Oryzias latipes: one gene and its partner. The protein of the gene in region 2 binds, or shares a complex with, the protein of the main gene of each other region. Links are inferred from orthologs where the notes say so. Each region holds a gene or a part of one and is shown on either strand. Other genes may lie near its edges.

Region 1 (6,103 bases), on a different chromosome or scaffold from region 2:
TTAACAGTTACGTAATTTTACACATAATTTTCATTATTTGAAGAATCGAACTATTTTGAATTGATAAGAAAGGTTCCCTGGAAAATATATTTGTTAGTAACACATACATTTAAATAGTTATGTTGAGGTTAAACGGTCCTTAAGTAAGTTTTATTGAACTTATTTTTAAAAATGTCAAATTTATTGCAATAACTAGTCAAAATGTACATTCTGAGAAACTAACTTATTTTTTTTCTCTCACAATTTGACCTTCATTAATCGTTTAAATCTCTTCCTTTTACCTGACGTCCTATCAACAAAAGTTTTTTTCCCCTCCCCTAACTTTATTTAAAATGAGACAAGAACAGCCATATCTGTTCGTATGCCGTAAGTGCGCAACATGACAAAGCATGGGAGGCAAGAAAAATTAATAACATCAGGAAAATATCTTAACATAATAAAATAATAATTAAATAGAAACAAATAAAAGATTTATTTCCGAAACAATCGGAAATAACAGGTGCCTAACCTTTAGACTTTCTGACCCTTAATCAGGACTGGTATTTTTTTAAAATGTAATTTACTAATGAAAACCAGGAAAAATGGTTACGTATTCAGTATATTTGCATGTATAAATATTATTTTTGGCTGAAATTAAAAATGACCCTCAAAAATAAATGTTCTTAGTGCGATGTTCACAAAGAATCAAAATCATATGCTTGTATTAAATAATGGAAGAAGTTTGTTTTGGAGAAAAATAAAATACCAGACTTTCTTTTTGGGTGCACGCCAAGAATAAGTACGTTTATTATAAGATTAGCTCCTGATATTAAAAACGTCTTGAATCAGTACGAAGTAAAATATTTATCTGGCTGTTACATATTTTAAAATGTTTTAAAATAACACTTCTCTAACTCTGTTAAAATAATCTCTATGTCAACAGCCAGACCGCTTTTTTGGGGGGGAAAGTTATAAACTTTTAAAGTTTGTAGTTTAAAAGGTTTGTGAACATTAATGCACCAAAGATTGAATTCATTGATGATTTCTGTGGTCTGTTGCTCCTCCCTTAGCTGGGTGAACTAGGTAAAGGTGCAGGGAAAGGTGGAGGAGGCGGAGGCTCCATTAGAGATGCGGGTGGAGCCATGGGAAAGAGGCAGGCTGCTGAGGAGGAGCTGTACTTCAAGTATGTGTCATTTTATCCTGCATTAACATCTTACTTCAGTGCTGATAGTCTTGGCTTTTTTTTTTAAATCACATTTTGTGCTTCTTTAGACGTAAAGAAAAGGAGCAGCTGGCTGCGTTGAGGCAGCACCACGAGGAGGAAATCGACCACCATAAAAAGGAGATTGAACGTCTGCAGCGTGACATTGACCGCCACAAGGGAAAGATCAGAAAGTTGAAGCACGATGACTGAGTCAATCCCTTCAAAACGTCCAACCTTCAGTCATCAGAGGCGCCTTTTTTGTAAACACACCGATAACAATGCAGACTGTATTATCTGGCAAATCCGGATAATATAGGATGTTCTCTGTAAGTGTTGACAAATAAATAAAACTGTTCATGAAATTACATTTGCTTCACTTCCATGCTTTTTCAGAACAACACAACATTGTTCTCACTACACAAACTGTTAAACTACTGTCCTTTGGGTTTTGTGTTTGCAAGTAAAACAGAGTAGAAATGTCGAAATGCAGTTTTTAGATCATTGCATGTTATTTAACGGTATTTCTTTAAAGCCTGATGTAATCAGAAGTGGTATCTTTAAAATCTGTCAAAGTTGAAAACTTCTCCAAATAGAAAATAAGCTACTTTCTTATTACTTTATCCCCACTTGGAGCCTTCTGTGCCTAATTTTTGTTAGTACTTTGACTGAAAGTGATCAGAGTAATTAGTAAATGGCAAAAGTAAACTAAATGTTTTTTAAACTGTTAAGGTGGGAAAGGCTTGCTTTTTATGAGTATTTTTAACCAAAGGAGTTGTTTAGTAATTAATCAGACAGGTGATTTCAGGTAATAACTGGAGAGTTGCAGGACAAAACACGAAGAAAGTTATTACATGTCAAACCATAACAGGCTTTGTATTCGGCAAACTAGGCTGCTCAATTGTATCTTGGGTTATCATGCTAAGGGCTGCAATGTGAACCAAAATATGAGTTTATAAAAGAAATGATGGGTCATTTTGTGCTACACGGTCTTGTTCGCCTCGCAATGGAAGGCCCTGGTTTGAATCCCACCTGAAACCTTTCTGTGTGGAGTTTGCATGTTGTCTGGGCACTTAGACCTTTTTGTCACAGTCTAAAAACATTCTTCGTAGGTTAATTGTGTGCCCTGCAACAGAATGGTGACCTGTTCAACCAGGGTTTACCCCCCCTTTACCTAACAGCGGGGAAAGTCTCCAGCAACCCTGTGACCCCAAAAGGGACAGAGTGGTTATAGAAAATAGATGGATGGATGGGTCATTATGTGTTTTACAATGAACCCTTGATGTGTCATGAAAAGAAGTGTCAATAAAGTTTGGTTGAAATCAATTAACTTCAAGTATGTACTGTTTTTTAACGTACTTTATAAATCTTGCACCAAATAGTTATGTATGTTGATTTTTTTTTATTTGTTATAAAGACTATCTTGCTAAAATTAATATGGGTTGGTAATATATAGACTGTTTTAAAAATATTATTATTGTTGTTTTCTTTTTTAAATATTATTTATTCAGGTTGCACCTTACAGCCTATGGGTGGCACTCATCATGCTCTCGAGGAAATGTGAACGTGCGAAAAAGACGGATGAAAAAGACTTAAATGTCGTCACTTCCTGCCACCCCTGCCTTTTACCATGAGCAACCCCGTTCGTCTTTCTTTTCGCTCATCATGGCGGACCGGTTCAATAAGGTGCGTGGAAGCTGCTTACACATATTCATTGTTTTTTCACTGTTTAGTGTATCTGGTCTTTTGTCCTTGGTTCACTTGTATTGTGCGATCATTTGTGTTGCAATAGATTCCAAATTTGTGATTTTCGGGTCATTCTCTTAGCCTCAATTTGAAACATTTGAGACGAGAAGCCGAGAGAACATGCCTTCATAATGGCAGCCTCCCTAAGAAAAGGGCTGATTAGCTTGCTAGCCTTACTTTATTTACGTCAACTTTAGTAGTTTGCACTTAGTTGGGTGATTTTGAGATTAATTAATTGAGCTACTTTCTTATTTAGGAAAGATCTGTAATATCTTACCGTAACGATATATTTACGTATTGTTTGGAAGGGGAGTTGATGCATTAGCATGCTTGACGTGTACGCTAGGGGCTATCATCGTTAAGTTAGCCGGCCTGATTTAAAATTTTGTAGCTTTTAAGAGTTTTCCCCTCGTTTAATAAAGAGTTATTTTTTGTTCACCGTTAGTTGTGTACAATTAGAAATTTAAATCACCGTAATTTGAATGTAAATTCATTATAACACCCCCTCGACCACATGTCGCAGTGTACTAACACAATAAATCCTCCTTGCAGGTTCTGCTGATAGATGGCAGGGGTCATCTATTGGGCCGGCTGGCTGCCATTGTGGCTAAACAAGTTCTGCTGGGTAAGTTATAAACGATCTCTAATGGTATTTGGCTACTGGCTCCATCTATGATGATTCCACATTCTCCCTTGGTTGAGTTTTAAGGACAATGAGAATTTTATATGTATCTGAGATTTTGGACAATTGGGATTATTGATCAATTTGTTATATTTTTTTATTCTTAATTTGTCCATTTTTTTTTTCTTTCTTTAGGGCACAAAGTGGTTATAGTGAGATGTGAAGGCATCAACATTTCTGGCAACTTCTATCGCAACAAGCGTAAGTCAATATTGAAATTTTGGCTTTAATTTTTATTTTATAAATGTTTGTCTGTGATGTTTTCCCACTTGTATTTGAGTTTCATTGACCTTGAAAACATTGTACATGCACTACCATCTGAGACAAGCATACATCAATTCTCAGCCGTTCTGGTGGATAGAACATAGTTTAATGTTTGACTTGTTTCTGACAGTGAAGTACCTGGCTTTCCTGCGCAAGAGGATGAACACCAACCCGTCTCGTGGGCCGTATCATTTCAGAGCTCCCAGCAGGATCTTTTGGAGGACAGTTAGAGGTGGGGTGTGAACACATTGAATAGTGCAACACTGGTGTATTGATGTAAATTACATGGGACAAAAGAACAGTTGTGTATCAGGTGGATCCTTGCTTTACAATGATGAACTTTTTTTATCCCGAATCTGATTGAATCACTGATGATCCAAAACTTTACGGATCTGATTTCTGAGTTAAGCAAGGATTTGATGTGTTTATAAGATCCAGAGTGTTTGTTTTTATACGTTAAAATTGATGAATGTTTTGCTCCCAACAGGCATGTTGCCCCACAAAACCAAGAGAGGCCAGGCTGCTCTGGAGAGGCTGAAGGTGTTTGATGGCATCCCACCTCCCTATGACAAGGTGTGCCACTGTTTGATGACCTATGGCCAACTGTCTGACTTTTAAATCACATCTTTTGTTAAAAAAAAAGTTTTTAAATGTATGTGACAACGCAATTCCATCAGTGGAAAATGTTTGTTTTTTAAATTCCTACTAAATCTTTGGTTTTGACTTGCAGAGAAAGCGCGTGGTTGTGCCAGCTGCTCTTAAAATTGTGCGGCTGAAGCCCTCTCGCAAGGTAAGTCTTAAGAATAAATAAATCCATGTTTTAATGAACCGTTGCCAGATAAAGGTCAATATTTGTTTAAAGCATAATCCAGCAAGGTGATAATTGCACACATGTTCTATGCTAGCAATTTTCTGTTTTTATAAAAACAATTTCTTTGAGTAATTTCAGAGCCTAAGTTTCTGTTGCTTCGTTTGTCTTCAGTTTGCTCTCCTTGGGCGTCTCGCCCACGAGGTCGGCTGGAAGTACCAGGCTATCACAGCCACTCTGGAGGAGAAGAGAAAAGAGAAGGCCAAGCTCCACTATGTCAAGAAAAAGACATTGGTTAAGCTAAGCAAGCTGGCAGAGAAGAACGTGGAGGGCAAGATCGCAAAATACACAGATGTTCTGAAACAATACGGTGTTCTTGTCTAAAATGGTTTGTTCTGGCGAATAAAGATGAATAAATGTTTATAAAAAGTGTTTTGATTCTTTCTTACTCAGCCCTGAAGTACAGTTGATTAATTATGGGATTTAAAGAGACATATTAAACGGGATGACTATTTAATGCTCTAAAGTAACTTGTGCAGATCAAAGGAACTTTTTCCTGGAGTTTATCGGAAAAGCATTTAATTGATAAACAACTATAGCATTCCCAGTATAACATTGTGGGCTTCTTGCACCGCTACTTTTTTTTGTCTAGAAGTCTGTATTTAACAATCACACAAAATTGTGGTTGAGTGATGGTGAAAGGGTTAATGGATTTTCCATATATTAAAAAATATTTCAGGCTTTAAATAAAAAAAAAATGGCTTCAGGTTCATAGTTTATGAGGGAAGCTGGTAGTAAATTTCTCGGAACCTCATGGAGTTTTCTACCAGCAGAGGGCAGTATTGCAGCATTTTAGAGTGACAAATCTGCAAAGCTTTGGAGTGACAGTATTTGATTCGTAGTTTAAGATAAATCTCTTGACAATAACCATCTTGGCAAAAACTGGTCATAAAATTCATTCTAAGAGCAGAGTTTCACTTGTGTAAAACTGTGTGCAGACTAGATTTCTCAGTCTAATGTATTCAGTGCAGTGGAGGTTTAGGTGGAATTTTTATTCTGGTTCTCATGGGAGGGAGAGCTTTTGTTGAGCAGTCTGTAGTTCCACTACCTCATTTAAGACACTCATATCATTACCAGTTCAACTGCTCTCTATAGCAGTCCTTTAATAATGTGCCTCATCTGTAATAATCTTTAAATTGAAACCGGTTCACTTGAAGATGATTGACCCTTTAATGCATTTTCCCAAATGAAAACCTTTTTTTAACACAATTGATTTCAACTTGAATAAATTTAGCAGTGACTGATAAGCAGAATCAGGTGTTCCCTTTTGTTTCATGTCAGCATTGTACAGGTAGCCGCTTACGGTGTCTGACTTTTATTTTATGTATTTGTGATGATTTTCCTTTTGCTCTGCTCGGATACA
Region 2 (5,195 bases):
CCTTTATGTGAAGACAGATGTAACTAAACTCCTTTGATTTCCAGTTGAAAAGGAACCGTTTACTCGTTTCAGAGTCCAGAGGTTCAGGAAATCCACATCTGATTCCCTCAGCAACATGTTTTTAAGTCCTTACTCAGTTTATAAGAATACTGTACAATACACAATAATAATACTTAGAATAATATTTCTGGTTTTGTGCGTTCCCGTGTAAGCTGACAGTAAATAATCCTAAATGTGTTTAAGTGTGTGGACAGATATTGATGAAGTACGTTGGAATGTAAATGTTAAATCTGAAGTGTTATTTTGCAGGTGCTCCCCTGAATGTCTATAATGTGCTGTGTCGTTTCTCAGGCCTGGTAGCACACAGTGACCTTGATGAGAGAGCCATTGAAGCTTTGAAAGAATTCAATGAAGAAGGTGCGCTGCAGGTGCTGGTCCAGTTTAAAGAGAGTGATCTGTCACACGTACAAGTAAGTTTTTGGATCCTGGAGGTTTGAAGAGGTCGCATTGTTATTTCATGTGATTAAAGAGGCAACTGTTTGTCTTTCAGAATAAAAGTGCCTTTCTTTGTGGGGTGATGAAGACTTACAGGCAACGAGAGAAACAAGGGACTAAAGTTTCTCGTACTTCCAAAGGACCAGATGAGGCTAAAATCAAAGAACTCCTGGACAGAACCAAATACACACTTGATGTTACAACAGGTCAGCGAAAGTATGGCGGACCCCCACCTGAGTCTGTGTACTCAGGTCCACAGCCAACTGTAGGAACTGAGGTACGGGGTTAAATTCAACGAAGACAAAGCCTGAGAATAAACAGAAGCAAATGTCAGTGAATCAAGAGACCCACTTCTTTGTCTAAGAAACTGGAGGAGCTGTAGCCGGACATTGTGTCTGCAGCACCCCCACACTGAAATCAGTGGTATTCACCTGTATTCTCTGCATTGAATTCTCTTTTTCTGGTAGATCTTTGTTGGGAAGATTCCCAGGGACTTGTTTGAAGATGAGCTGGTTCCTCTCTTTGAGAAAGCTGGATCTATTTGGGACCTCAGGCTCATGATGGACCCCCTAAGCAGCCTTAACAGGGGTTATGCTTTTGTTACATTCTGCGCTAAAGAAGCAGCACAAGAGGCGGTCAAACTGGTGAGTTCATGGAGTTATTTTCAGACAAAAACTTTCATTTTCAAATTAAAATGGGCCGAACGGCCTGTTCCTGACCGTCATCCTGAAATGCCTTTTTACAGTGTAATAACTACGAGATCCGCCCCGGAAAGCACATCGGTGCGTGTATATCTGTCGCCAACAACAGGCTGTTCGTTGGCTCTATTCCCAAAAGTAAAACAAAGGAGCAGATTGTTGAAGAGTTTTCAAAAGTCACAGGTACGACCGGGGTTCCTGTCGGTACTTGAAGAACTTTCCTTAAATATAAATCTTGTGATTTATTTTGTTCTGAATCTTCTTTGTGTCCAGACGGCCTGAACGATGTGATCCTGTACCATCAGCCCGACGACAAAAAGAAGAACAGAGGCTTTTGTTTCCTGGAGTTTGAAGACCATAAAACAGCCGCTCAGGCACGGCGCAGGCTAATGAGTGGGAAGGTCAAGGTCTGGGGCATCCTGGTCACAGTGGAATGGGCTGATCCCATCGAGGATCCCGACCCAGAGGTCATGGCCAAGGTGAGCATCACCCTTTGAAAACCTGATGCTGAACTGAGAAACCCAATGCATGGAAACGCCTGCAGGCCTGTTCCTTTGCCCCCTTGGGGAAGGATGGGTTTGTTTGAATGTTATCTGGCCAAAGCGGTACTCTTCAAAAAGTGTTACTGCATGACAGAGTACTTAAAATGCTTAATGTCCTTATTTTTAACAGTCTGCAGTGCACCTCTGTTTTCACACACACAAGGAAACATATTTTACCTCTCATCGCCACGGCAACAGACTTTTTTCAGAGCAGTGCACATTATCCGTCGGGTAACTGTATTAGGATCTTCTGCTGTGAAGTACAGACAAAGCTGCGCTCGCTAGAGTAAAGCTCCACCCCCACAGCCTCACGCCTTCTCATAGGAGCCGCCCACAATCACTGGAAAGGCAATATTATTGGCTAGAGTTCAGTAAGACTGGAGAGTGATACGTGATATGAACGAAGCCCAGAAATCTGTTTTTAATGGTTCTGGTAATGCGGCACACGTTGGTACAAGGATGTCCTGACAGAAGGAAGCTGCACAGGTCTGATGGGAAAAGCGTTTCTCTATCTGTGTTGCAGGTGAAGGTTTTATTTGTGAGGAATCTCGCCAACAGCGTTACGGAGGAGATTCTTGAGAAGTCTTTCAGTGCGTTTGGAAAGCTGGAGCGAGTGAAGAAGCTGAAGGACTATGCCTTCATTCACTTTGAGGAGCGGGAAGGTGCAGTGAAGGTACACACTTTCATTCAGAACCAGAGCATTCTTTCTAAAAAACAACACAAAAGAATGGACCTAAAACTGACCAAACCTTCATTTAGGCCTTGGATGAAATGAACGGGAAAGAACTGGAGGGAGAGCCAATCGAGATCGTCTTTGCCAAACCGCCGGATCAGAAAAGAAAAGAACGCAAGGCTCAAAGGCAGGCAGCCAAAACACAAATGTATGAGCTGTTAAATCAGCAGGAAAGCCTTCCTCCTCCACAAATACTGACTTTATGCTTCTGATTTTTTTTCCTTTCTGTCAGATATGATGATTACTACTATTACCCTCCTGCTCCCCACGCGCCCCCTGCAAGAGGCCGGGGCCGAGGAGGCAACCGGGGTGGATACGGCTACCCCTCCGACTACTACAGCTATGATGACTACTATGACTACTACGGCTATGACTATCACAACTACCGCGGCGGCTACGAAGACCCCTATTACGGCTACGAAGACTTCCAGTCCCCGAGCCGAGGGCGCGGCAGCAGCAGGGGCGCCCGTGGCGGAACTTCACCGGCTCGAGGACGCGGCAGCGCCGGCGCGCCGAGGGGCAGGCCCAGCTTCCCCCCGCATGGAGGGCCTGGACCGAGCCGCGGAGGGCGGGGAGCGAGAGGAGGCGTGCAGCCGAGAGGGCGAGGAGGGGTACGTGGTGTTCGGGGTGGCCGCGGTGGAAATGTAGGAGGAAAGCGCAAAGCTGATGGGTACAACCAGCCAGATTCCAAGCGTCGCCAGACCAATAATCAGAACTGGGGCTCTCAACCCATTGCTCAGCAACCCCTCCAAGGTGGTGATCATGCTGGTAACTATTTTGGTTACAAATCTGACAACCAGGAGTTTTATCAGGATTCTTTTGGGCAACAGTGGAAGTAAACCAGTAAGGCTTTCATAAAAGGAAAGAATTTATCCTTTCTGCCTTGTTTTTTCTCATTTAGAGACTTGATCTAATTGGCCCTCTATTCCATTTTGTTGCCAGCTTTATTTTTTTGTTTTTTCCACTCAAAAGTTAGTGACACCTGGCAGGATATCTTTATGTATATATTTTATCGATCCGCTTGGACTCGATCTAGTCACTCTCACCTGCTTCTGGCAAACTGCATTTTTTTCCTTTGTTGTTTTTGTTTTTTTAAGGTGGTCGTAAAAGATTCTTCAAATCCAACTTTTCCAACATTTTTAGATGCGAAATGTGCTGAAGCTGTCTATTTGGCTGTAGCTTAATGTATGTTTTATAGAAATTCTGATTTTAATGTTTTAACTAGTTAAAATAAAAAAGCTACCAAGCTTCTGTCTCCTAAAAATGTATTTAATAAGAGTGAAATTACAATTTGTATTGTAAAAGTAATGCGTGTCTTGTTATTGAAAAGAAAAAAAAAAAAGGACAACCGTAGTCCTCATTTTTGGGCTTTACATTTTGGCTTGTATTCTTTGCTGTTTGTCTGCTTTAATAAACATACACGCACACGTGTACAAAAACTTCAAATTGTGTCGCAAATTCATGTTTCGGCAAATTCTCTTTTCAAATTTTCTTCAAATTTAAGGCTCCATGTGGAAGAAGGTGGACTGAAGGTTTGCCATTGTTGGCCATATGCTACAGTGTCACCTTGCATGCCATCCAGTTCCAAGTCACCTTCTGTAGTCGGCATCTCAGAGCTCTGTCTGTGTAGTGGCGTACCTCATGTCCCAAAACATCTCACTAATTGGTGTCCCAAATTCACTGTCAACGCAGCGACGTCAGAACGGCCTGGGGGGGGGGGGGGGGGGGGGCACAAAAGCACAATTGGATTGTAGCCTCAGACTGAAGCTTTTCCTGGTCCCAGAAGGAACTTTGCTGTTCACAGCGTGGAAACTAAACCTGCATGTTTATCTCCAGGTTTGGCGCCGGACTTGTGTTGGGAAGCAGCGCTTTGCATGCCTCCTCCCTGTAGATCTGATTTATGCCCTCATTCCTGCTTCACCCGTGTCTCTGCCATCTCAGCCTTTCCCCGCTGCTCCCTTAAAGTTTCCCGGCCAGAAGCGGCTAGTTTGTCAGGCGCCGGCGTGCATGTTTACTCTGCTTCTGTCACGCCGGAGCTCCCCCCGCCACGTGTCGGTGCTCAGTGTTTAGGGAGCTCGGCGGCATTTGAGTGTGTAGATGTTACCTGATGCTGTTTTCCATCCTCTAATAACTTCCTTTTGTTACCTGGCTAGCAGGGAAGAGGGGTGGAGGCCGGCCCTGATGTGTTGCTCTGAAGACTGACGAGCACATGGCGTTGCACACTGCAGGCTGCCCGTGGAGGGAATGGTAAGGTCACCTGATACAGTGGTCCAATGGTGTTCCAGCCTTTTGTCAAAGACCCACTCTGATGAAAACATGCTCTTCTGGCATTTTGTTTGTTGCTCCAAATTGCATTTTTGAGTACCGTATTTTCTGGTGTAGAAGTCTCAGGGCCCAAAAAGAAAAACGCTGCGTCAGAGTTTTGGGAGAAGAAAAGTTTGACGCTTTTGAACGAATCCAACAAATTCACGCGGAACGCCATTCACGTGTCCAATTTGCTCCCGCTGCTTTTTTCCTGATGTGCATCAAGTTTGATACGTTTATAAACCAGAAGCTCCTGTCACAAGTGGGAGGGGCTACTGTCCAGCTTTTTAGCTCATTGCTGCATAGCAGGATTGGCTGCACACGTCACCTACATGCAAGGAAGACGTGAATGACGTCAACGTATCTACCAAAGCTTCGGTGAACACGGCTCCACGTCTGGCCTCGTAAGATCGTTCCGTTTTT

The links. The genes of interacting proteins can lie anywhere in the genome.
Region 1: heterogeneous nuclear ribonucleoprotein Q (region 2) and rpl13a share a complex: the UniProt entries of both Homo sapiens proteins name them as parts of the GAIT complex. The link is inferred for Oryzias latipes from reciprocal best matches to the Homo sapiens genes SYNCRIP and RPL13A.

What each region holds. Positions count from the first base shown.
Region 1 is NC_019880.2:9,906,843-9,912,945, reverse strand, and holds rpl13a (60S ribosomal protein L13a), read left to right. Parts: upstream 1-2,784; 5' UTR 2,785-2,845; coding exon 2,846-2,866; intron 2,867-3,478; coding exon 3,479-3,551; intron 3,552-3,743; coding exon 3,744-3,809; intron 3,810-3,855; exon of another isoform or gene 3,856-3,936; intron 3,937-4,002; coding exon 4,003-4,104; intron 4,105-4,198; exon of another isoform or gene 4,199-4,278; intron 4,279-4,359; coding exon 4,360-4,445; intron 4,446-4,602; coding exon 4,603-4,662; intron 4,663-4,854; coding exon 4,855-5,064; 3' UTR 5,065-5,112; downstream 5,113-6,103. Other genes in the region: ATPase inhibitor B, mitochondrial, read left to right, coding at 1,050-1,162, 1,252-1,393. UniProt on the Homo sapiens protein: Associated with ribosomes but is not required for canonical ribosome function and has extra-ribosomal functions.
Region 2 is NC_019882.2:1,561,736-1,566,930, reverse strand, and holds part of heterogeneous nuclear ribonucleoprotein Q, read left to right. Parts: intron 1-351; coding exon 352-470; intron 471-550; coding exon 551-772; intron 773-962; coding exon 963-1,139; intron 1,140-1,240; coding exon 1,241-1,376; intron 1,377-1,466; coding exon 1,467-1,672; intron 1,673-2,258; coding exon 2,259-2,408; intron 2,409-2,494; coding exon 2,495-2,616; intron 2,617-2,700; coding exon 2,701-3,307; 3' UTR 3,308-4,715; intron 4,716-5,195. UniProt on the Homo sapiens protein: Heterogenous nuclear ribonucleoprotein (hnRNP) implicated in mRNA processing mechanisms. Component of the CRD-mediated complex that promotes MYC mRNA stability.